Anolis sagrei: one gene and its partners. The protein of the gene in region 2 purifies or fractionates together with the protein of the main gene of each other region. This does not show direct contact. Links are inferred from orthologs where the notes say so. Each region holds a gene or a part of one and is shown on either strand. Other genes may lie near its edges. The genes, in order: DHX38, PPP4C, PPP2R5D and CCDC6.

Region 1 (6,991 bases), on a different chromosome or scaffold from region 2:
TCATTAATGCACAGCAGAGTAACTTATTAGCAGCAGTGTGGCCCAGCACCAGTAGCCCAAAGTGTTTACGAGAACAAAAACACAAAGACCAATGTTATTCCTTTCACAGAGGCTTTTCTTTATAGCAAACTAATATAGTTTCACTATTTACAAGAACGAAGTTCCAGAATACAAATAAAGTTCGTTACACTTCCTTCTTTACTTCCATGCTGGACTTCTTTCTCATGCAGATAAACAGCTTTGATTTCACACCAAACTTACATAGGAGCGTCACACAATAGCTTTTTATGCACAGTATCTTTCACACACAATGGCCTTCAACTTGGGGCTTCTCCACTGCAGCTTCTCACACCAGGCCTTCTCAAACTGAGGCCTACCTTACACTGAGGCCTTGCTTCCACTGAAGCCTACTCATACTGAGGATTCTCTCAGACTGACGCCTCTCTCACACTGAGGCCTTCTCACACTGAGGCCCTTCTCCCACAGAGACATAGAATCATAGAGTTGGAAGAGACCTCACGGGCCATCCAGGCCAACCCCCTGCCAAGAAGCAGGAAAATTGCATTCAAAGCACCCCCGACAGATGGCCATCCAGTCTCTGTTTAAAAGCTTCCAAAGAAGGAGCCTCCACCACACTCCGGGGCAGAGAATTCCACTACTGAACGGCTTTCACAATCAGGAAGTTCTTCCTAATGTTCAGATGGAATCCCCGACTTTGTAACCCACAGACTGAGTGCTACTAAGCTACAGTTACTTATATTGAACAGCAGCTTTTCCTGAGTCAATGCATCCATTTAACCCTTTCAGTGCTTGACTTACATTTGTGTAATTAAAAATACCTAGTTAATTTTTAATATTTCTGAGAGAACGGAGTCATGGAGAAGGCATGAGGATCACAGAAAGCAGCAACAGGAGTGGGATGTAGGCAGGGAGCTATGGAGAGGTTCAAACCCCCCCCCCCCCCAATTCTATGGCCTTGATCTCTCCAGTGGCCCTGTTGAAGCACAGAGAAGAGAACCATTTCTGTCCCTGCTTTGCCTTGACCCTTTGCTCTCCTGGCTTCCCATCCCTGCTTCCCCCTCTAGCTAGTCCTTTGCTCTCTGCCTTGGCTTTTTTGCTGACGTCCCCTCCTCCTTTTCTGCATGTTCTGTGGATGAATAATCCTCCCACTTCCTCTCAAGAGGAGGGAATGCAGGGCCAGGTCTCTTCTGAGGAGGCCAGCTTTGGCTCAGCCCCTGTTCCTCCTGCTTTCCCCAGGGAGCAGGGATTCCAGAGTGTCCAGGAGGCCGTGGGTGCGGACCACCGCCTCTGAGGAGCCTCGCTGAGACCTTACTGTGGACCCAGGGAGGCCTTTCGTCCCAGATGCCCAGTGGGGGCTTCTGAAGCTTGTGGATTGGCTGCTCCCCATTCTGCGGAAGCACCTGTGCAGTGGAAGAAACAGACATCCTCCCCTTTGGCAGCCTATCCCAAGTGGGAGCCCTGCAATCTGACAGTCAAAGCTCACAGCTCAGAACAAGATTGACTCAGCTAAGCAGACTGGACTTTGCATCGTCGATCAGAGATCATGGGGGGAGCACAAGGGGCAAAGGAATCTATGTCTCTTCAGCATGGAGGCAGTCAGGCTCAGGAGGAGCCATCCATTCAGCCCTGTCAGTGCCTCCTCTCCCTGTTTGACAGCCTCAGTGGGGACAGTGGGGCTGTGCTGCACCCAGGAGCCTTGGGACACGATATTTGGAGGGAAGGCACTATCCTATGTAGAGGCCAGCGCTTCCTTGTCCCCAAAGGCAGACTCTCTCCTTCAGGCCATTCGGTTTGGTGACCGTTTCAATAAAGGGCTTGACTCTTGGTTCAAACATGGTGTGATGGTTGGTTGAAGGACCCCATTGCTAAGCATTGTTTCTGGAGCTCAGAAACAGGGGCAGGAAGATGACACACCTCTGGCTTCCCTTCATTCAGTGCATAAGCCCACATCATTACTGCCATCGTGATTTTATCCCACGCATGTGTCAACTTGGTAGGCTGTTAGGAATCGTGGGAGTTGAAGTCCAAAACACCTGAAGGAGGGCCCATGCCTGATTTATCCCCACACAATAATTATCTATTATTTATTTATTTATATCCCACTTTATCTCTCCATACAGAGGGTACAAGTGCCTCACAACCAAAAACATTACAGCTTAAAACATACAAATATACATTTATTTATTTATGACATTTATATGCCGCCCTTCTCACCCCGAAGGGGACTCCGAGCGGCTTACAATATATATATACATACACACATACATACATACATACAATATATTATATTGCTAGCATAGTTGTGACGATGTGTAACTTTTATTCTTATGGTTATGTGTTGTTTAAACAGTAGTTAATAAATGGTAAGTATGTAGGATTATATTTTGTTAGAGATGGTGGCTGGTAGCTTGAGCTGAGTTGCCATAGCAACGGGGGCGGAGCCAACTATCACTTCACGGCGCAGCTTTTTGAAAGTGGCAGTGTGTGAACACTGGTGGAGTTTGGGGGGAAATAAAATCTTGGCATTTGGGAGTTATAGTTGCTGGGATTTATAGTTCACCTACAATCAGAGCATTTTGAACCCCACCAACGATAGAATTGGGCCAAACCTCCCACACAGAACCCCCATGTGGCCCACAGCAATGCGTGGCAGGGGATGGCTAGTAAATAATACAAAAACAATAATAAAACAGTATATCATTATATATTAGATACTATCAGTAATCATTATATTTAATATATTAATATTACTATGTTACAATATTATAAATGAGTAATCTAGTAATCTAGAATACTAATATTGTGCTATGCTAACAATATATTGTATGTACATATAATATTAATATTACATAAAATATGGGGAGATTGTATGTATTATATGTACATATAATATATTATTAGCATAGCACAATATTAGTATTCTAGATTACTAGATTGTACTATACCCTGATTGATTCTTGTCTGGATTTCCCTTGCTTTCTGAGTGTTGCTCTTTACTCACTGTTATTTACAACCAGGTACGGCTAACACTTCCCAGCAAAGGAGTCCTCTAGGCAGCAACCAGCCAGGCTTTGAAGCTGCAAGGGCCATTAAATGCTAATCAACGTGGCAAGTTGAAACATTCACACCTACCTCCAACAGACAAGAGTTCTTTGCCCCACCCTGGTCTTTCCACAGATATATAAACCCCTTTCCTACTTCCAACAGACCTCACAACCTCTGAGGATGCTTGCCATAGATGCAGGCGAAACGTCAGGAGAGAATGCCTCTAGAACATGGCCATATAGCCCGGAAAAACCTACAACAACCCATTCACACCTAGCTCCAGCAGACAAGAGTCCTTTGTCCCACTTTGGTCTTTCCACAGATATGTAAACCCGTTTTCCTAGTTCCAACAGACCTCACAACGTCTGAGGATGTTTGCCATAGATGCAGGTTTCTATATCTGTGGAAAGACCAAAGTGGGACAAAGGACTCTTGTCCGCTGGAGTTAGGTGTGAATGGGTTGTTGTAGGTTTTTCCAGGCTATATGGCCATGTTCTAGAGGCATTATCTCCTGACATTTCGTCTGCATCTATGGCAAGCATCCTCAGAGGTTGTGAGGTCTGTTGGAACTAGGAAAATGGGTTTCTATATCTGTGGAAAGACCAGAGTGGGACAAGACCAGAGTCAGGAGAGAATGCCTAGAACATGGCCCTATAGCCCGGAAAAACCTACAACAACCCATTCACACCTAGCTCCAGCAGACAAGAGTCCTTTGCCCCACCCTGGTCATTCCACAGATATATCAACCCATTTTCCTAGTTCCAACAGACCTCACAACTCTGAGGATGCTTGCCATAGATGCAGGCGAAACGTCAGGAGAGAATGCCTCTAGAACATGGCCCTATAGCCTGGAAAAACCTCCAACAACCCAGCAGGGACTCTCTCTTCCGGTCTGGCTTGGCAATCACTCCCCGAGGCGGAAGTCCCGCCTTCCGTCGCGGGGCATTGTGGGTCGGGCAATGGCGGCGCCCGGCCAGCGTCGGGCCCGGTCTTGAGGGGAGATGGGCGAAGCGGAGGCGGCGGAGGAGGCGTCGCTGCACCGGCTGGAGGGCCTGTCTCCGGGGGCGCAGGCGGGCGGGCTGGTGCTGCCGGCGGCGAGGCGGAGGAGCGCGGCCGAGGAGCAGCACGTCTTCAAGGTCCCGGCCCCGAGGGCCTCGCTGCTAGGCCTCGACCTCCTGGCCGCCCAGAAGCGCCGCGAGAAGGAGGAGCAGGCCGCCAATAACACCAAGCGGGCCCGGCTCTCCTCCGACGGAGACTGGGCCTCGGAGCCACAGCAGGAGCAGCGCCCAGAGGGAGAGGCGGAAGCGGCGGAGGAGGAGGAGGAGAGGGACGGAGGCGGAGGCGGCGCGGGGAGAGGATCCCGGAGGGAGCGGTGAGCCAGGCTTCGGAGGAACAAGAGAGAGAACTTCCAGAGCAGGCCTGGGCCAACTTGGGCCTTCCCTATGCCATCCAGAGTATTCCTATCAGTGTCTGAGGCGAATGTTGTTAATCTAGGCCAGGTCTGGGCCCACTTGGGCCTTCCCTTAAGGGGTTTTGGACTTCAACTCCCAGCATCCCTAACAGCCTCAGGCCCCTTCCTTTTCCCCCTCAGCCACTCAAGCTTCAGGTGTTTTGGACTTCAACTCCCACCATTCCTAACAGCCTAAGGTTCTTGTCATTTTCCCCCTCAGCCGCTCTAGCTTCAGGTGTTTTGGACTTTAACTCCCACCATTCCTAACAGCCTCAGGCCCTTTCATTTCCTCCCTCAGCCACTTAAGCTTCGAGTGTTTTGGACTTCAACTCCCACCATTCCTAACAGCCTAAGGCTCTTGTCATTTTCCCCCTCAGCCGCTCTAGCTTCTAGCTTTAGGTGTTTTGGACTTCAACTCCCACAATTCCTAACAGCCTGGGTCTCTTTCATTTTCCTTCTCAGGCGTTTAAGCTTCAAATGTTTTGGACTTCAACTCCCACAACTCCTAACAGCCTGGGTCCCTTTCATTTCCCCCCCTCAGGCGTTTAAGCTTTAGACTCAGCCGCTTAAGCTTCAGGTGTTTTGGGATTCAACTCCCACAACTCCTAACAGCCTCAAGCCCCTTCCTTTTCCCCCTCAGCCACTCAAGCTTCAGGTGTTTTGGACATCAACTCCCACAATTCCTAACAGCCTCAGGCTCCTTCCTTTTCCCCTTCAGGCGTTTAAGCTTCAGGTGTTTTGGACTTCAACTCCCACAATTCCTAACAGCCTGGGTCCCTTTCATTTTCCCCTTCAGGCGTTTAAGCTTTAGGTGTTTTGGACTCCCACCATTCCTAACGGCCTCTGGCCCCTTCCTTTTCCCCCTCAGCCACTTAAGCTTCGAGTGTTTTGGACTTCAACTCCCACAATTCCTAACAGCCTGGGTCCCTTTCATTTTCCCCCTCAGGCGTTTAAGCTTTAGGTGTTTTGGACTTCAACTCCCACAATTTCTAACAGCCTCACGCCCTTTCATTTCCTCCCTCAGCCGCTTAAGCTTCAGGTGTTTTGGACTTCAACTCCCACAATTTCTAACAGCCTGGGTCCCTGTCATTTTTCCCCCTCAGGCGTTTGAGCTTTAGGTGTTTTGGACTTCAACTCCCACAACTTCTAACAGCCTCAGGCCCCTTCCTTTTCCCCCTCAGCTGCTTAAGCGGCTGAGGGGGAGAAGGAAAGGGCCAGAGGCTGTTAGAAGTTGTGGGAGTTGAAGTCCAACAAAACACCTGGAGGGAAGGCCCAAACAGCCCAGACCTGGTCTACATCTACATGGTAATCATCTGTCGGGGTGCTCTGATGGTGTTTCCTTTTTTGGGCCATCTAGTCCAACCCCCTGCCATGCAGGAAAAGCACAATCAAAACACTCTCAACAGATGACCATCCAGCTTCTGTTTAATAGCCACTGTAGAAGGAGCTTCCATCAGTCTCTGAGGCAGAGTGTTCCAGTGTTGAACAGCTCCTACAGTCAGGAAGTTCTTCCTGATGTTCAACTGCAAGTTTAAAAAGAAATCTTTAAAACAGCATTTCTCAACCTGGGCGTCAAGCCCCCTGGGAGCGGGGTCGTGAGGGAGGTGTTGTCAGACGTGTCACCAAAGACAATCAGAAAACACAATATTTTCTATTTTTCATGGGGGTTATGTGTGGGAAGTTTGGCCCAATTCTTTCATTGGTGGGGTTCAGAATACTTTTTCATTTGGGTTTGAGAGGGGTCACCAAAGACCATCAGAAAACACATATTTCTGATGGTCTTAGGAATTCCTTTGGCATAGTTGTTTGGGTTCATAGTGCTCTACGGATGTAGGTGAACTACATCTTCTCTAAATCACTATTGAAATTCATCCCAAATCCCTCCAGTATTTTCTGTTGGTTATGGGGGTTTGTGTGGGAAGTTTGGCCCAATTCTATCATTGGTGGGGTTCAAAATGCTATTTGATTGTAGGTAGACTATAAATTCCAGCAACTACAACTCCCAAATGTCAATGTCTATTTCCCCCAAACTCCACTAATGCTCCGAAGCCTGTTTCCTCTGCTCCTACATGGTGGAAGTCCAAATCGCATGCAGGGAGGACCCAACTTGTTCCAGGCCTGTTCTACGATATACCCATAACATCTGTCTCTCATGCTCATCTATCCGTCTCTTGGAATCGTATCTTACCACATCTATGGCAGTATGGCTGTCTGTCAGGGGTGCTTAGATTGTCTTTCTTTGTGACAGAAGGAGTCAGGCTGGATGGCACCTCGGGCCTCTTCCGAATTCTAGGATTCTATCATTCTATTGATTTTCTTCTCTGTAGGCTTTAAAATAGAGCTGGCAGGATGGACATCTGTTGGGTACACTCAGATAATGTTTTCTTGCTTTGAAGTCTCCCAACTCCCAAGATTCAACAACAGGCCTGTGCCAACTTCGGCCCTTCCTCCTGGTGTTTTGGACTTCAACTTCCA
Region 2 (7,355 bases):
CACTGATGAATCCCAGGTACTATAGGCTCTATTTCAGAGGAAGGAACTGGCCAAACCATCTCTGAGTACAGGCAGTCCCCAAGTTACAAACATCTGACTTACAAATGACTCCTAGTTAAGAATAGGGGAAACCACAGGAAATTAGTGAAATCTACACCTTGGAAGAGAAATTCACTTTTTTTCATGCCAGGAGCAACTTGAGAAGCTGCAAGTTGCTTCTGGTCGTCTGCAAGGATGTTTCCCCAGGGGATGCCCAGATGTTTGATGTTTTACCATCACGTGGGAGTTTTTTCTTGTTTCCCCGCATGAGAAGCTAGAGCTGAGACGGGTGCTCACTCCACTCCCTGGATTTGAACCGCTAACCTGTTGGTCAGCAGTCCTGCCAGCACAAGGATTTAACCCATTGCACCACCGGGGGGGGGGGGGGGGGAGTGTCTCCACCAAGGTTTCATCCCCAATTACTGTTTCCAGATGAAACCAAATTTTTCAAGACTGGAGTTATACCTAAAAATGGACTGAGAGAGACATCGTTAATTGATGATAATGTGTATTTAATTCTCTGTCAAAGTGATAATGCCTTACAACCCTATTTGGGGGTGTGTGACAGACCTTTTATGGGCCATGCATTCTGTCGCTATTGCTAGGCCCTCAATAAACAGCTTCCACGGTTGGTATTCAATTTGTGGTATGTCTTCCATTACATCATCCTCTTGAGCCCAGGGGACTCCTGACAATGTGCAGAGAGCAGGAGGAATTCCAGAGAGCCATTCCCCCTACAGTACCTGTTTCGAATTCTGGACCAGAGGCACTCCAAGTGGCCAGATACTGGTCAAAGGACACTTAATCAACTACCAAGCTTGCAAATTTTGTTTTGTGCCTGTTTGTTTGTTTGTTTTGTTCTGTTAGAAATGTAATACAATTATGATTGCCCCTGACACAATAAATAAATAAATAAACCTGTTTCGACTTACATACCAATTCAACTTAAGAACTGGAGCCCCTGGTGGCGCAATGAGTTAAACCCTTGTGCTGCCAGCACTGAAGACTGACAGATCGGAGGTCCGAATCTGAGGAGAGTGAGGATGAGTTCCCTCTGTCAGCTTCAGCTCCCTATGCAGGGACATGAGAGAAGCCTCTCACAAGGATGGTAAAACATCAAAACATCCGGGCGTCCCCTGAGCAACGTTCTTGCAGACGGCCAATTCTCTCACACCTGAAACAACTTGCAGTTTCTCAAGTCGCTCCTGACACACACAAAAAAACCCCAAAACTTAAGAACTAACCTATACAACCTATCTTGTTTGTAACTTAGGGGCTGCCTGTATTCCTTGAGTAAGAATGCATCTACACTGTGGCATTCACTCAGCTTGTTAACACTTTAACTGCCAAGGCTCAATGCTATGGAATCCTATTTTAAGAAGAAAAAGAAGAAGACAAAGAAGAAGAAGGAGAAGAAGAACTTTATTTTTCTAACCCGCCTCCATCTCCCTGAAGGGACTCGGGGCGGCTTACATGGGGTCCAAGCCCAAAGCAGAATACAATTAAAAACAAAGCAAAAAACAATTACGAGAGCATAAACAGTGTAAAACAACATAATAATAGCTAGCAACAACAATAACAGCAGACTAATTTTGGAGAGGGGGAGGAAAACCACTACGTGAACTAGTTAAAGCATAAGTGGTTTAGTAAGGTGGATAACGACATAGGAAACATCATGGAAACAGAGTAAATTAACAGGATCAGTTAATATACTATAGGACATCAAATTGAATGACAATTCAAGTCATGATACAGGTCATTTATCATAGGTGTCGTCAATCGAAAGCACGACAAAACATACACATCTTTCATTCCTTACAGAATGTGGCTAGGGAGGGTGCCAGCCTAATCTCCCTGGGGAGGGAGTTCCAGAGATGGGGGGCCAGAGGCCACCACCGAGAATGCCATCGTCCAGTCGTTCCATATTTGCCTGTTTCGCTGCATTCGCGAAAGCTTGCCCAAAGAGCCAAGTTTTGACTTTTTCCCCTGAAATCTCAGGAAGAACATAAGCAGATACTATATTTTTGCCTTAGGGCCCTTCTACACAGCCCTATATCCCAGCATATCAAGGCAGAAAATCCACAATATCTGCTTTGAACCGGGTTATCTGAGTCCACACTGCCATATATTCCAGTTCAAAACAGATGTGGGATTTTCTGCCTTGATCTTCTGGGATATAGGGCTGTGTGGAAGGGTCCTTCGAGATGGTACGATTTGGTCTCCACTTTCCTGCCCTGTAACCTGGCAACTTTAATGTATGTAGCCCAGGCGTGGGCCAGCTTAAGTGGCTGAGGGGAAAAAGGAAAGGGCCTGAGGCTTTTAGGAATGGTGGGAGTTGGAGTCCAAAACACCTGAAGGGCCCAAGTTGGCCCATGCCTATTGTAGGCCTGTGTGAGGAGATTTTGCTTTTCATAATTGCAATTGTTGTGGCCCATAAGAAAAGGAAGGGGCCTGAGGCTTTTAGGAATGGTGGGAGTTGGAGTCCAAAACACCTCGAGGGTCCAAGTTGGCCCATGCCTATTGTAGGCCTGTGTGAGGATTTTTTGCTTTTCATAATTGCAATTGTTGTGGCCCATAAGAAAAGGAAGGGGCCTGAGGCTTTTAGGAATGGTGGGAGTTGGAGTCCAAAACACCCCGAGGACCCAAGTTGGCCCATGCCTACTTATTTATTTATTTATCATGTCATCAGCAACCATACCATTGTATTACATTTCTAACAGAAAAAAACAAACAAACAGATTTAAAAAGCACACATTTTGCAAACTTGGTAGTTGATTAAATGTCCTTTGACCAGTATCTGGCCACTTGGAGTGCCTCTGGTGTTGCTGCAAGAAAGTCCTCCATTGTGCATGTGGAAGGGCTCAGGCTGCACTGAAGCAGGTGGTCTGTGGTTTGCTCTTCTCCGCACTTGAATGTCGTGGATTCAGCTTTGTAGCCCCATTTCTTAAGATTGGCTCTGCATCTCGTGGTTCCAGAGCGCAGTCTGTTCAATGCCTTCCAAGTCGCCCAGTCTTCTGTGTGCCCAGGAGGGAGTCTCTCATCTGGTATCACCCATGGATTGAGGTGCTGGGTTTGAGCCTGCCACTTTTGGACTCTCGCTTGCTGAGGTAGACCTACTGTAGACCTGTGTGAGGAGTTTTTGCTTTTCATAATTGCAATTGTTGTGGCCCATAAGAAAAGGAAGGGGCCTGAGGCTTTTAGGAATGGTGGGAGCTGGAGTCCAAAACACCTCGAGGGTCCAAGTTAGCCCATGCCTATTGTAGGCCTGTGTGAGGAGTTTTTGCTTTTCATAATTGCAATTGTTGTGGCCCATAAGAAAAGGAAGGGGCCTGAGGCTGTAGGGAATGGTGGGAGTTGGAGTCCAAAACACCTCGAGGGCCCAAGTTGTCCCATGCCTATTGTAGGCCTGTGTGAGGAGTATTTGCTTTTCATAATTGCAATTGTTGTGGCCCATAAGAAAAGGAAGGGGCCTGAGGCTTTTAGGAATGGTGGGAGTTGGAGTCCAAAACACCTCGAGGGTCCAAGTTGGCCCATGCCTATATTAGGCCTGTGTGAGGATTTTTTGCTTTTCATAATTGCAATTGTTGTGGCCCATAAGAAAAGGAAGGGGCCTGAGGCTGTAGGGAATGGTGGGAGTTGGAGTCCAAAACACCTCGAGGGCCCAAGTTGTCCCATGCCTATTGTAGGCCTGTGTGAGGAGTATTTGCTTTTCATAATTGCAATTGTTGTGGCCCATAAGAAATGGAAGGGGCCTGAGGCTTTTAGGAATGGTGGGAGTTGGAGTCCAAAACACCTCGAGGGTCCAAGTTGGCCCATGCCTATATTAGGCCTGTGTGAGGAGTTTTTGCTTTTCATAATTGCAATTGTTGTGGACCATAAGAAAAGGAAGGGGCCTGAGGCTTTTAGGAATGGTGGGAGTTGGAGTCCAAAACACCTCGAGGGCCCAAGTTTGACCATACCCGCTATAAAAGGAAAAGGCCTGAGGCTGTTAGGAATTGTGGGAGTTGTAGTCCAAAAGACCTGGAGGAGTGGTGTCAATGACACCTAAAAAAATCCCTCTGGCATTCATATGGGCGCCTATAATCCTGTACATGAAACATCATGGAGGGAAGAGCTGGAATGACAAGGAAGCGTCGAGAAAGAGAGAGAAAAAAAGCTAAACCGGAAGTAGGCCCGGGAGACATTTTGAGCGACACATGGAGAGGCCGCCCTTGCGTCACTTCCGGAGCCTCCTCCGCTCCTTTTAAATCCCCACCCCTGCCTTGAATTAAGAAGAGAACTGAGAAAATGATGTCACTTCCGGGGGAATCAGGGGAAAGTCAGTCGGCCTCCATCCACAGCTGGGCCTCAGTCGAAGGAGGAAGCGGAAGTGACGCCCTGTGTTCTGTAGTTAGTGAGAGCCGGAAAGACAGAGGCAGAGAGAGAGAGAAAGGGAGAGGAGAGGGGGAAGGGCCGGGCCCGGAGCCGGAGGGAGCCGCGGAGCAGCCATCACCGCCTCTGCCGGGACCCCAAGTGAGTGGCGAGGCTCCTTCTGCGCATGCGCCTCGCTTCCCCCTTGGTGTTGAGGGGCGGGGGAGGCGGGTTGCCATAGAGACCGGGGTTCGAAGGAGGAGGGGTCAGGGGCCTTGGGAGGAGGAGGGGAAAGGCCTCCCCTCGGGTACTGTCTCGAAGACCTGGAAGAAGCCCCCCATCTGCCATGCAGGGGCACATCATCAAAGCACCCCCGACAGATGGCCAGCCCGCCTCAGGTTAAAAACCTCCAGAAAAGGACACTCCACCATCTTCCCAGGCAGCATAGAATGCTTAGTTTGTTTTCTTTAGGGCCAACTTGGGCCCTCCAGGTGTTTTGGACTCCAACTCCCGCCATTCCTAACAGCCTCAGGCCCCTTCCTGGGGGAAAAGGAAGGGGCCTGAGGCTGTTAGGAATGGTGGGAGTTGGAGTCCAAAACACCTGGAGGGCCCAAGTTGGCCCATGCTTGGGTTAGACTATTGAGGAGGAGAATTAGGATTGGGTTGGACTGTCTTTCCTCTGTTTCCTTCTTCATTCTGGTAGAAGTCCATCTGTGTGGTTCTCAACCTGTGGGTCCCCGGATGTTTTGGCCTTCAACTCCCAGAAATCCTAATAGCTGGGAATTCTGGGAGTTGTAGGCCAAAACACCTGGAGACCCACAGGTTGAGAACCACTGTGTTATTGGTTGCCAACTCCCAGAAATCCTAACAGCTGGGAATTCTGGGAGTTGTAGGCCAAAACACCTGGGGACCCACAGGTTGAGAACCACTGTGTTATTGGTTCATGGATTCTTGGATGGAATGGGGAATGTGAGAGCCTTCAGATGCTCATGGATTGCAGCTCACATTACTCTTACCTCATAACAACAATGATATACGTTTTACTTATCTCTCTTACTTACCTCTTTTACTTATCTCGTTACTTATCTCTCTTCAAAGCAGGGCACTGTTAAAATTTATAGATAAAGACATAAGACCATGAATACTATAAAAGGCATACGATTAGTCAGGGGTGAAGGGGAGGTCACAGTCTGATAGAATATGGAAGGCCCAATATTCATATAAAAGGATTGATTGATTTGTCGAAGGCTTTCATGGCTGGAATCACTCAGTTCTTGTGGGTTTTTTCGGGCTATATGGCCATGTCCTAGAGGCATTTCTCCTGACGTTTCGCCTGCATCTATGGCAAGCATCCTCAGAGATGACCTCACCAGGCAAAACGTCAGGAGAAATGCCTCTAGAACATGGCCATATAGCCCGAAAAAACCCACAAGAACTGATTGATTGATTGTTTGCCTGTTTTAATATTTCTTCCATTTCTTTACAGCAGGAATGAGCCAGGTTTGGCCCTCCAGGTGTTTTGGACTTCAACTCCCACAATTCCTCACTGCAAGTAGATATATAAACCCAATTTTCCTAGTTCCAGCAGACCTCACTACCTCCGAGGATGCTTGCCATAGATGCAGGCGAAACGCCAGGAGAGAATGCCTCTAGAACAGTGGTTCTCAACCTGTGGGTCCCCAGATGTTTTGGCCTTCACCTCCCAGAAATCCTAACAGCTGGTAAACTGGCTGGGATTTCTGGGAGTTGGAGGCTGAAACACCTGGGGACCCAAAGGTTGAGAACCACTCCTCTAGAACATGGCCATATAGCCTGAAAAAATCTACAACAACCCAGCAAGTAGACTGTTAGGAATTGTGGGAGTTGAAGTCCAAAACATCTGGAGGGCCCAAGTTGGCCCATGCCTGCTTTACAACAATTAGATAATACTGGAAACAGGACCTATGCCTGGGGTTCTTATCATTTAGGGTTTATCCTCCAGGGGATTATTTGGAGATGTCTTTAGTTTTATCTTATGCGCATCATAGATGTACAGTTGAGTCTCGCTTATCCAACCTTTGCTAATCCAATGTTCTGTATTATCCAACACAATCGGCCTCCCACCCGGATCCACAGATGTTTCAATACATTGTGATGTTTTGGTGCTAAATTCATAAATACAGGAATTACTACAAAACTTTACTGTGTATTGAACTGCTTTTTCTGTTGATTTGTTGTAAAGCATGATGTTTTGGTGCTTCATTTGTAAATAATAGGCTTTTCCTTAATCCCTCCTTATTATCCAACATTTTTGCGTATCCAACGTTCTGTCAGCCCGTTTATGTTGGATAAGCAAGACTCTACTGTATGTCCTCGTTTTATTCATTGTCAAGGCCTTTAGTATACTGATATGGAAACTTTTTATAAAATGTGGCCGAGGAATGTTTTTAAAAAGGAATTGCATCCATTCTTCTCCTACAGGGGGAAAGATGGCCGAAATCAGTGACCTTGACCGTCAGATTGAACAACTACGGCGCTGTGAACTCATTAAAGAGAGTGAAGTCAAAGCCCTCTGTGCCAAAGCCAGGTGAGTAGTTGGCGACATTTTTAAAAAACTCTTATTTATTATTTATGGCCTCTCTGGCCTCCAGGACATCTCTGTTCTGGAGCTGGGAAATGTATAATTAGTTAAGTATAATGTATCTTTTCTCCCCAACAGAGAGATTTTGGTGGAAGAAAGCAATGTCCAGAGAGTAGATTCCCCAGTAACAGTAAGTAAAAATGCTCATGGGATGTTCAGTGGTACTTTGGGGCTGGGCTGCTGGTGGAGGCTCCTTCTTTGGAGGCTTTTAAACAGAAGCTGGATGACCATCTGCCGGGGGTGTTTTGAATGTAATTTTCCTGCTTCTTGGCAGGGGGTTGGACTGGATGTCTCATGAGGTCTCTTCCAACTCAATGATTCTATGATAGTATAATCATGCAAACTC
Region 3 (7,572 bases), on a different chromosome or scaffold from region 2:
TATAGCTTTTTATCGGTTTTTGAACTTTAGTTTTGGTTTGGTTATTTGGGGTGCTGATTCAGAAAATTGCATTGGATAGACTACATCAGCTCTATTTTCTGATCAGAACATATGCGATGCAGTAGTCGCCATCTGCTTGCCCATAGAAAACCATATTTAATAATCCATAGCCAATGTGGTAGTAATAATCTTTTGTGTATAGTCAGCCTCTCCCCTCCCAACATCCCCGTTGACTCGGCACTATAAGAGGGTTTTGCGAGAGCAGTCGCTCTCATTGCTGCGTGGTTTTGAGGCAATGGTGAGGCCACGGACAATACTTTAGGTCTTTTGGACCACTGGTGATCCACGAACCACAGGTTGGGAACCACTGCTCTAGTGGGAGGGGCAGGATTGCATCCCTCCCTGCTGTGTAGACTCATATAATACTGTTAAGAAAATTGCATTGGATAGACCACATCAGCTCTAGCTTCCCGACATCCCTATTGCCTCAGCTCTATAAGATGGTTTAGTGAGACCAATCGTTCTCATTGCCGTGTGGTTTTGAGGCAACGCTGTAGTAATGGTGAGGCCACGGACCATATTTTCATTCTTGCAGACCACTGGTGGTCCACAGATCACAATTTGGGAACCACTGCAGTAGTGGGAAGGGCAAGATTGCATCCCTCCCTGCTGTGTAGTCTCATGCAATCCAATATTTATTTATTTATTTATTTATTTATTTATTTATGGCATTTATATGCTACCCTTCTCACCCCGAAGGGAACTCAGAGCAGCTTACAAGCAAAAATTAAATACAATATATTATTATTATCATACCACAATATTAATATTATATATTACATTGTACTACTGTAATATTAATAGTATTACATTTAATATAAAATATAATTATAATATCATTTTATTAGTAGTAGTATATTGTATTACATTATAATATCTACATTATGTACAATATTTTATATTATATTGAATTATATTATACTATAAGCACAGTGCAGGAGACAAGATGGAACTACCTTTCTGGTCCCTTTCTTCATTCTGATCTCAGAGCAATATGAGTCTTCACTAACATGTAATGAAGTTTCAATCTGCATTATATGGCAGTGTAGGTGGGGTCTCCATTGGCAAATATGGCAGTGTAGATGGGGTCTGAGTTTGCAACCTTTATTTATTTATCTACCACATTTATATCCTGCTCTTCTCAATCTCGAAGTGGACTCATGGCGGCCTTACAAAGGCAACAATCCAATGCCATATATTAATATATTGGTAAATAAACAAAAACATTAAAACCAAACCCATTAAATCATAGCATTAAAACATAAATTAAAATCACATGACCCAACTTTGAAGTAAACTGAGGAGAAAGGGGGACAGAGTAGGAAAAGGTGAAGAAAGGCAGTATGTTTGTAAAGGAGCTGAAAAAGTGGGAAATCAAAATAGTTGGAGGGGTAACAACATATAGAGAGTCTCACAGATGAAATTCAGAGCTACTATATGCAGGATGTACACAGAGTGTAGGTACTGAAGTTGTGAATAAGCACAAAAGATATCCTAAGAATAATGCACATGTCCACATGTGCTGTTATTTAAGACCCGTGGCTGGGGCAAAAGGAGGATCTAAACCAGTGGTTCTCAACCTGTGGGTCCCCAGATGGTTCGACCTTCAACTCCCAGAAATCCTAAAAGCTGGTAAACTGATTGGTATTTCTGAGAGTTGGAGGCCAAAATACCTGGGGACCCACAGGTTGAGAACTACTGATCTAAATAAATGCAATGATAATATTTGTGTAATAGAATATAATGCAAAAAGTGATTGTGGGCCTTCAAGTTCTCTCCAACGTATGGCAATCCTAATGGGAGCTTGTCAAACTGTTTTCTTTGTCTTCTGAGACTGAGAGATTGTGACTTGCCCAAGGTCACCCAGTGGGTTTCCATCGTCGAACAACAAGTTATGCTCCAATGCTCGGGCCTCTACCTCACACTAGCTCTCATACTTAGTACTGCACATTGAAATATATACATATACATATATATACACACACACAGAGAAAGGAATTTGTTTGGGCTTAATTTGCATGCTGAATGCTAATGCCATGAATGTAACATTTCTAGTAGTGGTGGAATACATGCTTCCAAATGAAGAATGTGGTATATTTGATTTTGTCAGATGAGGCTGGAAATAAGCCTGCTGAAAACCCTGGAGAGTCTAGACTGACTGGCAGCTTCTTCCAGGTTTTAGTAGACACTGCTAAACTAGATGGATCAAGGTCTGAGTTGTTGTAAGGGATCTCCCTATGTTTTACTTTTGTATATGGGGAGATGTGTTATGAAACATAGGAGCATGTATGAACAGGGTTGCACTTGATTGCCTGTGCGAATCCATGGCACCACATGCATTATCATTATGAATAAACAACTATAGGTGAATATTAGAGTGTAATAGTCCCATATTTCCAGGATATAACATTACACGGGCCCTACGATTTCCTGCAAAGTATGGATAACATTGCTTACTGTGTTGCTGTGAGTTTTCTGGGCTGTTTGACCATGTTCCAGAAGTATTCTCTCCTGACATTTTGCCCACATCTGTGGCAGGCATCCTCAGAAGTTGTCAGGTGTATTTACTAAAGTGGTGTTAGAGTTCATTTCGCCTTGACTTACAAACTGACCTAAGGATAAGTCCCATCAAATCCTTAATTTTTTTCTGATTCATGGTCACCCAAGTGTGTCATGGGATTCAAACTAGTTAGCTTGCTAGCAGATCATAAGTAACTTACCACGAGGAAGTGATCTTTGAAGTAGATTTCAGGGTTTAGTTTCCTTTTCATTCATTCTTCGCCAACTTCCATTCAGATATGTTAGATGTGGGATAAATAAGAGTTATGATAATACCCAGAAGAGGTCCCTGAAGGTGCATCTACACTGTAGAATTAAAGCAGTTTGACACACTTTAACTGCCATGGCTCAATGCTGTAGGATAATGGGAGGTTTAGCTTTACGAATCCCATGATTGCTGTAGCATTGAACCATGGCAAACTGCAATAATTCTACAATATAGATGCATCCCAGTTGGGAAAGGTAGAGTAAAGAATTCTGCTACTTTTTATAGGCTAGATAGGAACCTCCCTCACCTTGAAATTCCTACCCTTTTGTGGCTAAACCTGCCTGACTTAACTTCAGCCTTCCAGGACTTTGCTTTGTCCTCTCATGGACTGTCTCTTCTACTCACAGGTAGAGTAATAGAGTTGGAAGAGACCACATAGGCCAGGGGTTCTCAACCTGTGGATCCCCAGGTGTTTAGTCCTACAACTCCCAGAAATCCCAGCCAATATACCAGCTGTTTGGATTTCTGGGAGTTGGAGGCCAAACATCTGGGGACCCACGGGTTGAGAACCACTGACAGAGGCCATCTAGTCCAATCTCCTACCATGCAGGAAATCACAGAGTATCCCTGACAGATGACTATCCAGCCTCTGTTTAAAAGTTTCCAAGGAAGGAGCTTCCACTACACTCCAAGGCAGAGAGTTCTACTATTGAACAGCTTGTGCAGTCAATATGTTCTTCCTAATGTTCAGGTGGAATATCTTTTCCTATAATTTGAACCCATTGCTCAGAGTCCTAGTCTCAAGGGCAACAGAAAACAATTGTGCTCTCTCTTCCTTATGACTCCCTTTCACATATTTATACATGGTTATCATGTCTCCTCTCAACCTTCTCTTCTGCATGCTAAACATACCCAGTTCAAGATGCTCCAGATCTTTGATCATTTTAGTTGCCCTCTTCTGGACACCTTCCAGTTTGTTGATATCTCTTTAAAACTGTGTTGCCCAGAACTGGACACACTCTTCTAGGTGAGGTCTAACTAAAGCTGAATAGAGGGGCACCATGATTTCTCTTAATCTAGACCAGTGGTTCTCAACCTGGGGTCCCCGGATGTTTTTGGCCTTCAACTCCCAGAAATCCTAACAGCTGGTAAACTGGGATTTCTGGGAGTTGTAAGCCAAAATACCTGGGGACTCACAGGTTGAGAAGCCACTATTCTAGGTGAGATCTAACCAAAGCTGAATAGAGGGGCACCATGACTTTCCTTGATCTAGACCAGTGGTTCTCAACTTGTGGGTCCCCAGATGTTTTGGCCTTCAACTCCCAGAAATCCTAACAGCTGGTAAACTGGGATTTCTGGGAGTTGTAAGCCAAAACATCTGGGACCCGCAGGTTGAGAAGCACTGATCACTATATTCCTATCTGAGCAGCTAAAAAATCCCATTGGCTTTTTAGCTGCTCACTACAGGTGATACGTCGCAGCTTCCTTAGTTTATTCCCTGACCTTTCTCTGGATCTACATTGCCTAAATAATAGCTTCCTTCCTTCCCAGCATGTCCTTGGTTTGACACATAAGTCCTTTTCCTTCCAAGGAGCAGTTAGCAGAGGCTGGAGAGCTCTTCAAAGGGTTGTATTCCTTTGCAGTTAAAGGGGTGGTTTCCCCCATTCAGTGGGAGGGAAGGGGTGGGCTTAAGAAGTCAGATGCCTTTTCAGAAGGGAAAGAGAATGGATCAGGCCAGGGGCGCTGCTTAGAGGATGCTCAGTGTGTTTCTGTACAGAGACCTTTCTCTTGTCCTGGGAAGAACATCCCTCTCGGGCAGCCACTTGTGGAGCATGGTATGCTATCGAAGTTGTTCCTGGGGGAAATGTCGTTTTTTGTGGTCACTGGAATTCCAGTTTCACAATATTTGTCTCATTTGGACGTGAACCGTAATAAGTCCTTAATGGAGCAACTCATCTGTAAATGCTCTTTCTCTTCTTTGTGTTTCTCTTTCGTTTCATCCTCCAGGACCCTCCAAAATCGACCAAAAGCACTACAAAAGCTAGTAGCAGCAGCAGCAGCAGCAGCAGTGGTAGTGGCAGCAGTGGGACCGGGAAAGATGGCAGCACAGAAAATTCAGAAGAGGTAGGATACTTATTCTGCAAAGGATTATATGTTGTGCATTATATACCGGTTAACATTGAGTTAAATTAAAACTGATTAGCAGGAAGTGTCTGTTTTTGAACATAATTTTTTTCAGGGTGGGGTTGGGAGCAGCAACTGTTGCGTATTGAGTAGACGTGTATGTAGGATTGCACCGTGAAAGTGCTTAGTTAGCTTGCCTGGAAGCAAATGTGTATTGTTGATGCATTTGTTTCTTCTTAAAACAACAAGTGTGTGCACGTCTGTGAGTATACAGATCCAACCAGTAGTCTAAAAGATGAGAGGATTTGTGGCATGTCTTAATGCATTTATAATTGTTTTAATGTATGCTAAATGTATATTATGCTTTGTTTTTATTGTTTGGCACTGAATGGTGCCTGTTGGTAGCCGTCCTGAGTCCCTCTTTGGAAGTGAGAAGGACGGGATAGAGATGCTCCTAATAATAAATAAACAAATAAATAAATTTCAGGATTTTTAGAGTTAGCAACTGAACTCAATAACAAATTTATAATGAGGGGTGGGTAACTGGAGGGTAGAGAGTTGTATTGGGACCTCCTAGAATATATTTCAGAAGTCTCTAATGAAGTAGTGGATATGCAGAAATACTCCATGCTTATAAGATCTTCCAGGCACTTGATTCCCTGCCACTGCTATAGTTTAGGTTGAGTATTTCTTACCTGAAGTGCTTAGGACCAGAAGTATTTTAGATTTTGGAATCCCTGTATTTATGGAGGACAATAGATCATGACCTGTCAGGATTGCTGTCCATTGGCGTATATAGATCATAAACTGTTAAGATCACAACCTAATTATGGTAGCAATTCAGAGTTTATTGTCGGAGGCTTTCATGGCCAGAATCACTGGGTTGTTGTAGGTTTTATCGGGCTATATGGCCATGTTCTAGAGGCATTCTCTCCTGACATTTCGCCTGCATCTATGGCAAGCATCCTCAGAGGTAGTGAGGTTGTTGAAACTAGGAAAATGGGTTTATATATCTGTGGAATGACCAGGGTGGGACAAAGAACTCTTGTCTGTTGGAGCTAGGTATGAATGTTTCAACTGACCACCTTGATTAGCATTTGATGCTAATCAAATTAAAACAATTAAAATTACAACAGCAAAACAACAGAGAGGAAACAATCAAGGGCATCTAATCACTTCTCAACAAAAGATTGCCCCAGGCACTGCCAGGCCATCAAATGCTAATCAAGGTGGTCAGGTGAAACATTCACACCTAGCTCCAGCAGACAAGAATTTTCCCAACTGGGAAACCCATTTTGTGGTGCCAGAACACAGTCTGTTCAGCGCCTTCCAAGTTGGCCAGTTTTTTGTGTGCCCAGGGGGGAGTCCCTCATTTGGTATCAGCCATTGATTGAGGTTCTGGGTTTGAGCCTGCCACTTTTGGACTCTCACTTGTTGGGGTGTTCCAGCAAGTGTCTCTGTAGATCTTAGAAAAATATTTCTTTATTTAAGTCGTTGATGTGCTGGCTGATACCTAAACAAGGAATGAGCTGGAGATAATAATAATAATAATAATAATAATAATAATAATAATAATAATAAACAACTTTATATATAACTTATAGCAGAAGTATGCTAGAGGACCTAGAAAATGGTCAGAAAGGTCAAATTTAGGCATTGCTCAGTTCTCTAGCATAACTTTGGTCAACTTCCAGTGCACCACCTCGAGAATCTTGGAAAGGACATATTTTGTTAGAGATTGGTAAATGAAACCACAGGTTGCAGTCCTGGATATATGGGAATCATACTGAATTATTATGAATTGTTTGCATCTCATGGGAGATATAATTAAGTAGAGTGAGAGCAAAAACCTGTGGAAAGTTAAAGGAACATAAAAGAGCAGTCTGGTCCAATAGTTTGTTTATATGCTAGTTACTAAAGGACCAAGTGGCATGCAGTTTTAGTGGCAAATAAATTCAAGGAATGGGGCATGGTTTAAAAGAGACATACTGAGATAATTGATTGTGACACAGAGGAGTAGCATTTTGCAGACTTTCTTTCATAGTCTGCGCATGAATAGCAAGGTGTTAGATTCCACCCCCGTTGCTGCTGAAACTCAAGTAATTGTTAATATCTCTTATCTATATCTGCAGAGCACAAAAGATCAGAATATTTGTTCTTTTCTTCAGCTTGTAGTGAAAGGAATACTACAGCATTCTGTATCAATGCTAAATATAATACTACATCTTTACTACAGGTAGGGTATGCAACAGGTGTATTACAATTGAGTATGAGACCATGTGCACTGCAGAATTATAGTAGTTTGACACTTCCACTGCCAAGGCTCCATCGTATGGAATCCTGGGATTTGTAGTTTGTTGTGTCACCAAAATTATCTGACCGAGAAGGATAAATATCTCACAAAACTACACATTCCAGAATTCCATTTCATGAAGCCATAGCAGTTAATGTGATTTCAAGCTGCTATAATTCTGCAGTGTGGATGCAGCTGATATATAAATGGTCACGATAGTCTCTTTGATTTCTTTCTCCTGAACCTTTTAGAGGGGTTTGTAGCTTATACAGTTCTCCTGCTGCTGCTCAGTGGCTGCTTTCATTTGTCTCTGGAGAGTCGCTCTAGT
Region 4 (6,842 bases), on a different chromosome or scaffold from region 2:
ACTCTTGCCTACTTGAGGCAAGTGTGAATGCTGCAATTAGCCAGCTTTTTTTGTCATGTCAGGAATGACTTGAGAAACTGCAAGTCGCTTCTGGTGTGAGAGAATTGGCTGCCTGCAAGGATGTTGCCCAGGAAATGCTCGGATGTTTTGTTGTCTTATCATCCTTGTGGGAGGCTTCTCTCATGTCCCCGCATGAGGAGCTGGAGCTGATAAAGGGAGCTCATCTGTGTTCTCCCTGGATTTGAACCTGCAATCTGTCGGCCTTCAGTGCTGCCAGTACAGGGGTTTAACCCACTGCCCCACCGGGGGCTTCATTGGCCAGCTTGATTAGCATTGAATGGCCTTGCCACTGCAAAGCCTGGCTGCTTCCTGCCTGGGGGACCCTTTGTTGGGAGATATTAGCTGGCCCTGATTGATTCTTGCCTGGAATTCCCCTGTTGCTCTTAGGATCAGATCCTGAGATATAGGGCCTGTCTGGAAGTGTTATGGCAGCATTTCTCAACCTAGGGGTCATCAGAGGGGTCACCAAAGACTGCCAGAAAACACTGTTTTCTGTTGGTCATGGGGGTTCTGTGTGGGAAGTTGGGCCCAATTCTATTGTTGGTGGGGTTCAGAATGCTCTTTGATTATAGGTGAACTATAAATCCCAGCAACTACAACTCCCAAATGTCAAGGTCTGTTTTTCCCAAACTGCACCTGTGTTCACACTAGGGAATATTGAGTATCTGTGCCAACTTTGGTCCAGATCCTTGTTTGAGTCCACAGTACTCTCTGGATGTAGGTGAACTACAACTCCAAATCTCAAGATCAATGCCCACCAAACCCTTCCCATATTTTCTGTTGGTTATGGAGTTCTGTGTACCAAGTTTGGTTTGATTTCATCGTTGGTCGAGTTCAGAATGCTCTTTGATTGCAGGTGAACTATAAATCCCAGCAACTACAACTCCCAAATGACAAAATCAATTTTTTTTGAGTGAAGGACATACGTTAGGTTGTTAGGTGTCGAAATTTGGTGTCAATTCTTCCAGTGGTTTTTGAGTTCTGTTAATCCCACAAACAAACATTACCTTTTTATTTATATAGATTGCTCTTAGGATCAGATCCTGGGATATAGGGCCTGTCTGGAAGTGTTATGGGCAAGCAGTTGTTTCTTTCTAGGGCTGCAGAATTAATGCAGTCTGACAAACACACACACACAATGAACTGCCATGAATCTACAAACTACAAGAGAGGAGATTCCATCTGAACATGAGAACTTCCTGACTGTGAGAGCCGTTCAGCTTCCAAAGAAGGAGCCTCCACCACACTCCGGGGCAGAGAGTTCCACTGCTGAACGGCTCTCACAGTCAGGAAGTTCTTCCTCGTGTTCAGATGGAATCTCCTCTCTTGTAGTTTGTAGATTCATGGCAGTTCATTGTGTGTGTGTGTTTGTCAGACTGCATTGATTCTGCTGCCCTAGAAATAAACAACAGCTTGCCCATAACACTTCCAGACAGGCCCTATATCCCAGGATCTGATCCTAAGAGCAATCTATATAAATAAAAATGTAATGTATTGTCGAAGGCTTTCATGGCTGGAATCTCTAGGTTCTTGTGGGGTTTTTTTTTCGGGCTATAGGGCCATGTTCTGGAGGCATTTCTCCTGACGTTTTGCCTGCATCTATGGCAAGCATCCTCAGAGGTAGTGAGGTCTGTTGGAATTAGGACAATGGGTTTATATATCTGTGGAATGGCTGGGGTGGGGCAAGGAGCTCTTCCCTGCTGGAGCTAGGTGTGAATGTTTCAACTGATCACCTTCATTAGCATTTGAAGGCCTGGCTGAGCCTGGGAAAATCCCCTGTTGAGAGGTGTTAAGATGTAATGTAATGTTTGTTTGTGGGATTAACAGAACTCAAAAACCACTGGACGAATTGACACTAAATTTGGACACCTAACAACCTAATGTATGTCCTTCACTCAAAAAATTTGATTTTGTCATTTGGGAGTTGTAGTTGCTGGGATGTATAGTTCACCTACAATCAAAGAACATTCTGATCCCCACCAAAGATGGAATTGAACCAAACTTGGCACACAGTTCTCCCATGACCAACAGAAAATACTGGAAGGGTTTGGTGGGGTGAGAGCCGTTCAGCAGTGGAACTCTCTGCCCCGGAGAGTGGTGGAGGCTCCTTCTTTGGAAGCTTTTAAACAGAGGCTGGATGGCCATCTGTCAGGGGTGATTTGAATGCAATATTCCTGCTTCTTGGCAGGGGGTTGGACTGGATGGCCCAGGAGGTCTCTTCCAACTCTACGGTTCTATGATTCTATGAATCTTGGGGGGAGGTGTTTGGGTCAAGGCCTTGCAAAACTACAGCTCCCAGGATTCCAGAGCCACGGCAGGAAGAGCAAAAGGTTTCACCTGAGGAGAGGCCCCTCCCTCCCCAGCTCCGTTTCCCTGGCAACCGCGCCCCTCCCTCCCCTGCCCCCCCCCCCGCACTCACGATGGTGACGCTGGCCTTGCGGAGGTCGCGGTTCTCCTCCTGGAGCGCCTTGCACTTGAGCTTGTAGGTCTCCAGCTCGATCTTGAGCACCTTGTTCTCCTGCTGCAAGGAGGCCAGCCGGTTGGTCAGCTCCTCCAGGCGGAAGGGAGAGATCACGATGCCGCCCGCCTTGGGGGGGCCCGCCGAGGACGAGGTCGCCGCCGAGGAAGAGGAGGAGGAGGACGGCGAGGAGGACGGGCAGCCCGGCGGCGCCGCCCCGCCCGGAGCCCCCACGCCGCCCCCGCCGTCCGTGTCGCTCTCGCTGGCGCTGTCGGCCATCCTGGAGGGAGCGCGGGGCCGCTCCGAGAGCGCCTTGGGCTCGGCCTCGCCTCCGCCTGCCTCTTTCCCTCGCCTCGCCTCGCCGCTCCGCGGGCTGCAGCCAGGGCCGGAGGAGGAGCTCGCCGCTGAGGAGAAGGAGGAGGAGAACCACCACTGCGCATGCTCCCGGCGCCTTGGGAAGCCGCGCGCGCTCGGCGCCGAGAAGCCAAGGCCGGCGCCGCCTCGCGCCCGCCTCGCGCCCTACCCACAGCGCCGCCACCCGCCAATGGTGGCACTGCAGCACCAGCTCCGCCAAAAGGAGACCTCAGACATCACCACCACCCAGGCCTGTAGCGAGGGGATGGTTTTAGGGGTTCAACCCCCCCCCCCGAAATGTTTCAATTTTTTTTTAAAAAAACCTGCTTTACTCATGAATTTTAACTGGTTAACCAAATCCCCATGCTAAGTCTATGAAATGCAAAAAATTAAGAGTCCCTCCAGAACTGTAAGCACTATCTCAAGCAAATATTGACAATTTATTCACACTGTCATTACTTGCAGCAATAGCCGATGTAGTGAAGCAACCAAGTTGGGGTGTGTGTGTGTGTTGAATGCTCTCATTAAGGAGGCCAGACTTGGTGGAGGTGGTTGACAGGGGTGGAGCAGGCTATTGAAGGTTGCTCTGCCCTCTGCTGGAGTCTTCCTTGTAGGATCTTGAGCATTACCTTACTGGCATGAGAAATAAGGGCCACTGTACGGAAGTTTGAGCAGTCTTTCGCATTTCCCTTTTTTGGTATGGGGATATAAGTTGATTTTTTCCAGTCTGATGGCCATTCTTGTGTTTTCCATATTTGCTGGCAAATGGCATGCATCACCTTGACAGCATCATCTTTTAAGATTTTAAACAGTTCAGCTGGGATCCCATCATCTCCTGCTGCCTTGTTGTTAGCAATGCTTCTTAAGGCCCATTCAACCTCACTCCTCAGGATGTCTGGTTCTAATTCATTCACCACACCGTCAAAGCTATCCTCGATATTGTTATCCTTCCTATACAGATCTTCTGTATAGTCTCGCCACCTTCTCTTGATCTCTTCAGCTTCTGTTAGGTCCCTGCCATCTTTGTTTCTTATCATATCAATTTTTGCCTGAAATTTACCTCCAATGTTTCTAATTTTCTGGAAGAGGTCTCTTGTCCTTCCTATTCTGTTGTCTTCTTCCACTTCCATGCATTGCTTATTTAAAAATAGTTCCTTATCTCTTCTGGCTAACCTCTGGAATTGCGCATTTAACTGGGCATATCTCCCCTTTTCACTGTTTCCTTTTGCTTTCCTCCTTTCTTGGGCTACTACCAGTGTCTCAGCAGACAACCATTTTGCCTTCTTGGTTGGTTTACATGGAGCGAGAGTTGCCAGATGTTCAAGCTGGGTTTAGAAAAGGCAGAGGAACGAGAGACCAGATTGCCAATATCCGCTGGATAATGGAGAAAGGCAGGGAGTTTCAGAAAAACATCTACTTCTGCTTCATTGACTATTCTAAAGCCTTTGACTGTGTGGATCATAATAAATTGTGGCAAGTTCTTGGTGGGATGGGCATACCAAGCCACCTTGTCTCTCTCCTGAGGAATCTGTACAAGGACCAAGTAGCAACAGTCAGAACTGACCACGGAACAACAGACTGGTTCAAGATTGGGAAAGGCGTACGGCAAGGCTGCATCCTCTCACCCAACCTTTTTAACTTGTATGCAGAGCACATCATGCGATGTGCGGGGCTGGATGAATGCAAAGCTGGGGTGAAAATTGCTGGAAGAAACATTAACAATCTCAGATATGCAGATGACACCACTCTGATGGCCGAAAGCGAGGAGGAGCTGAGGAGTCTTCTAATCAAGGTGAAAGAAGAAAGCGCAAAAGCCGGGTTGCAGCTAAATGTCAAAAAAACCAAGATTATGGCAACAAGAATGATTGACAACTGGAAAATAGAGGGAGAAACCGTGGAGGCCGTGACAGACTTTGTATTTCTAGGTGCAAAGATTACTGCAGATGCAGACTGTAGCCAGGAAATCAGAAGACGCTTACTTCTTGGGAGGAGAGCAATGTCCAGTCTTGATAAAATAGTGAAGAGTAGAGACATCAGACTGGCAACAAAGTTCCGCCTAGTCAAAGCCATGGTATTCCCTGTAGTAACCTACGGATGTGAGAGCTGGACCTTAGGGAAGGCTGAGCGAAGGAAGATCGATGCTTTTGAGCTGTGGTGTTGGAGGAAAGTTCTGAGAGTGCCTTGGACTGCGAGAAGATCCAACCAGTCCATCCTCCAGGAAATAAAGCCCGACTGCTCACTGGGGGGAAAGATACTGGAGACAAAGTTGAAGTACTTTGGCCACATCATGAGGAGACAGGAAAGCCTAGAGAAGACAATTATGCTGGGGAAAGTGGAAGGCAAAAGGAAGAGGGGCCGACCAAGGGCAAGATGGATGGATGGCATCCTTGAAGTGACTGGACTGACCTTGAGGGAGCTGGGGGTGGTAACGGCCGACAGGGAGCTCTGGCGTAGGCTGGTCCATGAGGTCACGAAGAGTCGGAGACGACTGAACGAATGAACAACAACAACAACTGCCCTCTGCTGTGCTCTTTGCTTCAGCGTGAGCTAGGAGGCAGGTTTCAACCCCCCCCCCCCCCCATTTTCAACCCTCCCCAAAATTTTCAACCCCCCCCCCCCCCGAAATTGTCAACCCACCCCAAAAAATTTTTCTGGCTACGGCCCTGCCACCACCACCATCATTGAGTATTCTTGCAGATGGCGGAAACAGATGGCGGAACATCTACACCAGGCATCCTCAAACTGCAGCCCTCCAGCTTGTTCAGTGGTCAGGAATTCTGGGAGTTGGAGGCCCAAACAGCTGGAGGTCCGCAGTTTGAGGCTGCCTGATCTACCCAAATGACCAGCCACTGCCAGAAGGGACAGAGAGTTTCATCTATGCTGATGATCGTGCCATCACCACTCAAGCAGGGAGCTTTGAGATGGTAGCTTTCCAAAGCTCTAGGTCAGGGATCCCCAAACTAAGGCCCTCATTTAGGTCATTTACCAGGCCCTCGCTCAGGGTCAACCTAAGTCTGAAACGACTTGAAACCACACAATAAACGGTTCTGGCCCAGCCTACCTATCCGGACACATCTCTTCCTACGAACCCTCCAGGAAGTTAAGATCATCTGCTCTCGATCCCGTCTGCTTTGCAAGCACGCTTGGCGGGGACGAGAGACAGGGCCTTCTCTGTGGTGGCCCCTCAGCTGTGGAACTCCCTGCCTAGGGATATTAGATCAGCCCCCTCCCTCCTGACCTTTCGTAAGAGAGTGAAAACCTGGCTCTTCGAGCAGGCATTCGGAACCCCGGAATAGTCAAGCTTGAGATGGAGAATGACCCAGGAACGGCCAAGACGATGAAACGGATGAGGATTGGAATGAGAGGATATAGCTCTTTTTACACTGTTATTGCACGTGTAATAGTGTAATGTTTTTGTCATTGCTTATGTTTTAATTTTTGCTTTGTATTGTATTATTGTTTGCTGTTGTTGTGTTGAGGCCTTGGCCTTTGTAAGCCGCATTGAGTCCTTCGGGAAATGCTAGCGGGGTACAAATAAAGTTTAATAATAATAATAATTGTTGAAAATATATTAGGGTCATCAAATCATGCAGTTGGGAGAGACCACATGCACAATCAAAGCACCCCCGACAGATAACCACCCAGCCTCTGTTTACAAACCTCCAAGGAAGGCGCTACCACCACACCCTGAGGCAGGGAGTTCCACTGTGGAACAACTCAGGATCAGGAAGTTCTTAAAAAAATATTTTATTAGGGTTTTGTTTAAAGAAATGAAAAAGAAAATAGATATTGTAACACTGAAAGTGGGAGAACAATTTATTTGGGTTGTAGGTTTTTCCGGGCTATATGGCCATGTTTTAGAGGCATTTTCTCCTGACGTTTTGCTTGCATCTATGGCAAGCATCCTCAGAGGTAGTGAGGTCTGTTGGAAGTAGGAAAATGGGTTTATATATCTGTGGAAAGACCAGGG

What was found.
Region 1: the proteins of PPP4C (region 2) and DHX38 purify together in Homo sapiens (affinity purification with mass spectrometry; 5 studies listed by BioGRID and IntAct, with this or other methods). This does not show direct contact. The link is inferred for Anolis sagrei from reciprocal best matches to the Homo sapiens genes PPP4C and DHX38.
Region 3: the proteins of PPP4C (region 2) and PPP2R5D purify together in Homo sapiens (affinity purification with mass spectrometry; 7 studies listed by BioGRID and IntAct, with this or other methods). This does not show direct contact. The link is inferred for Anolis sagrei from reciprocal best matches to the Homo sapiens genes PPP4C and PPP2R5D.
Region 4: the proteins of PPP4C (region 2) and CCDC6 purify together in Homo sapiens (affinity purification with mass spectrometry; 7 studies listed by BioGRID and IntAct, counting the BioPlex papers as one, with this or other methods). This does not show direct contact. The link is inferred for Anolis sagrei from reciprocal best matches to the Homo sapiens genes PPP4C and CCDC6.

The regions. Positions count from the first base shown.
Region 1 is NC_090028.1:29,488,369-29,495,359, reverse strand, and holds the start of DHX38 (pre-mRNA-splicing factor ATP-dependent RNA helicase PRP16), read left to right. Parts: upstream 1-3,991; 5' UTR 3,992-4,067; coding exon 4,068-4,438; intron 4,439-6,991. Other genes in the region: DHODH (dihydroorotate dehydrogenase (quinone), mitochondrial), read left to right, coding at 1,258-1,312. UniProt on the Homo sapiens protein: Probable ATP-binding RNA helicase. Involved in pre-mRNA splicing as component of the spliceosome.
Region 2 is NC_090026.1:17,473,009-17,480,363, forward strand, and holds the start of PPP4C (serine/threonine-protein phosphatase 4 catalytic subunit), read left to right. Parts: upstream 1-4,343; 5' UTR 4,344-4,551; intron 4,552-6,849; 5' UTR 6,850-6,857; coding exon 6,858-6,955; intron 6,956-7,087; coding exon 7,088-7,139; intron 7,140-7,355. UniProt on the Homo sapiens protein: Protein phosphatase that is involved in many processes such as microtubule organization at centrosomes, maturation of spliceosomal snRNPs, apoptosis, DNA repair, tumor necrosis factor (TNF)-alpha signaling, activation of c-Jun N-terminal kinase MAPK8, regulation of histone acetylation, DNA damage checkpoint signaling, NF-kappa-B activation and cell migration.
Region 3 is NC_090021.1:24,508,770-24,516,341, forward strand, and holds the start of PPP2R5D (serine/threonine-protein phosphatase 2A 56 kDa regulatory subunit delta isoform), read left to right. Parts: upstream 1-4,554; 5' UTR 4,555-4,581; coding exon 4,582-4,662; intron 4,663-4,834; coding exon 4,835-4,951; intron 4,952-7,572. UniProt on the Homo sapiens protein: The B regulatory subunit might modulate substrate selectivity and catalytic activity, and might also direct the localization of the catalytic enzyme to a particular subcellular compartment.
Region 4 is NC_090023.1:164,695,866-164,702,707, forward strand, and holds the start of CCDC6 (coiled-coil domain-containing protein 6), read right to left. Parts: upstream 3,025-6,842; 5' UTR 2,798-3,024; coding exon 2,480-2,797; intron 1-2,479.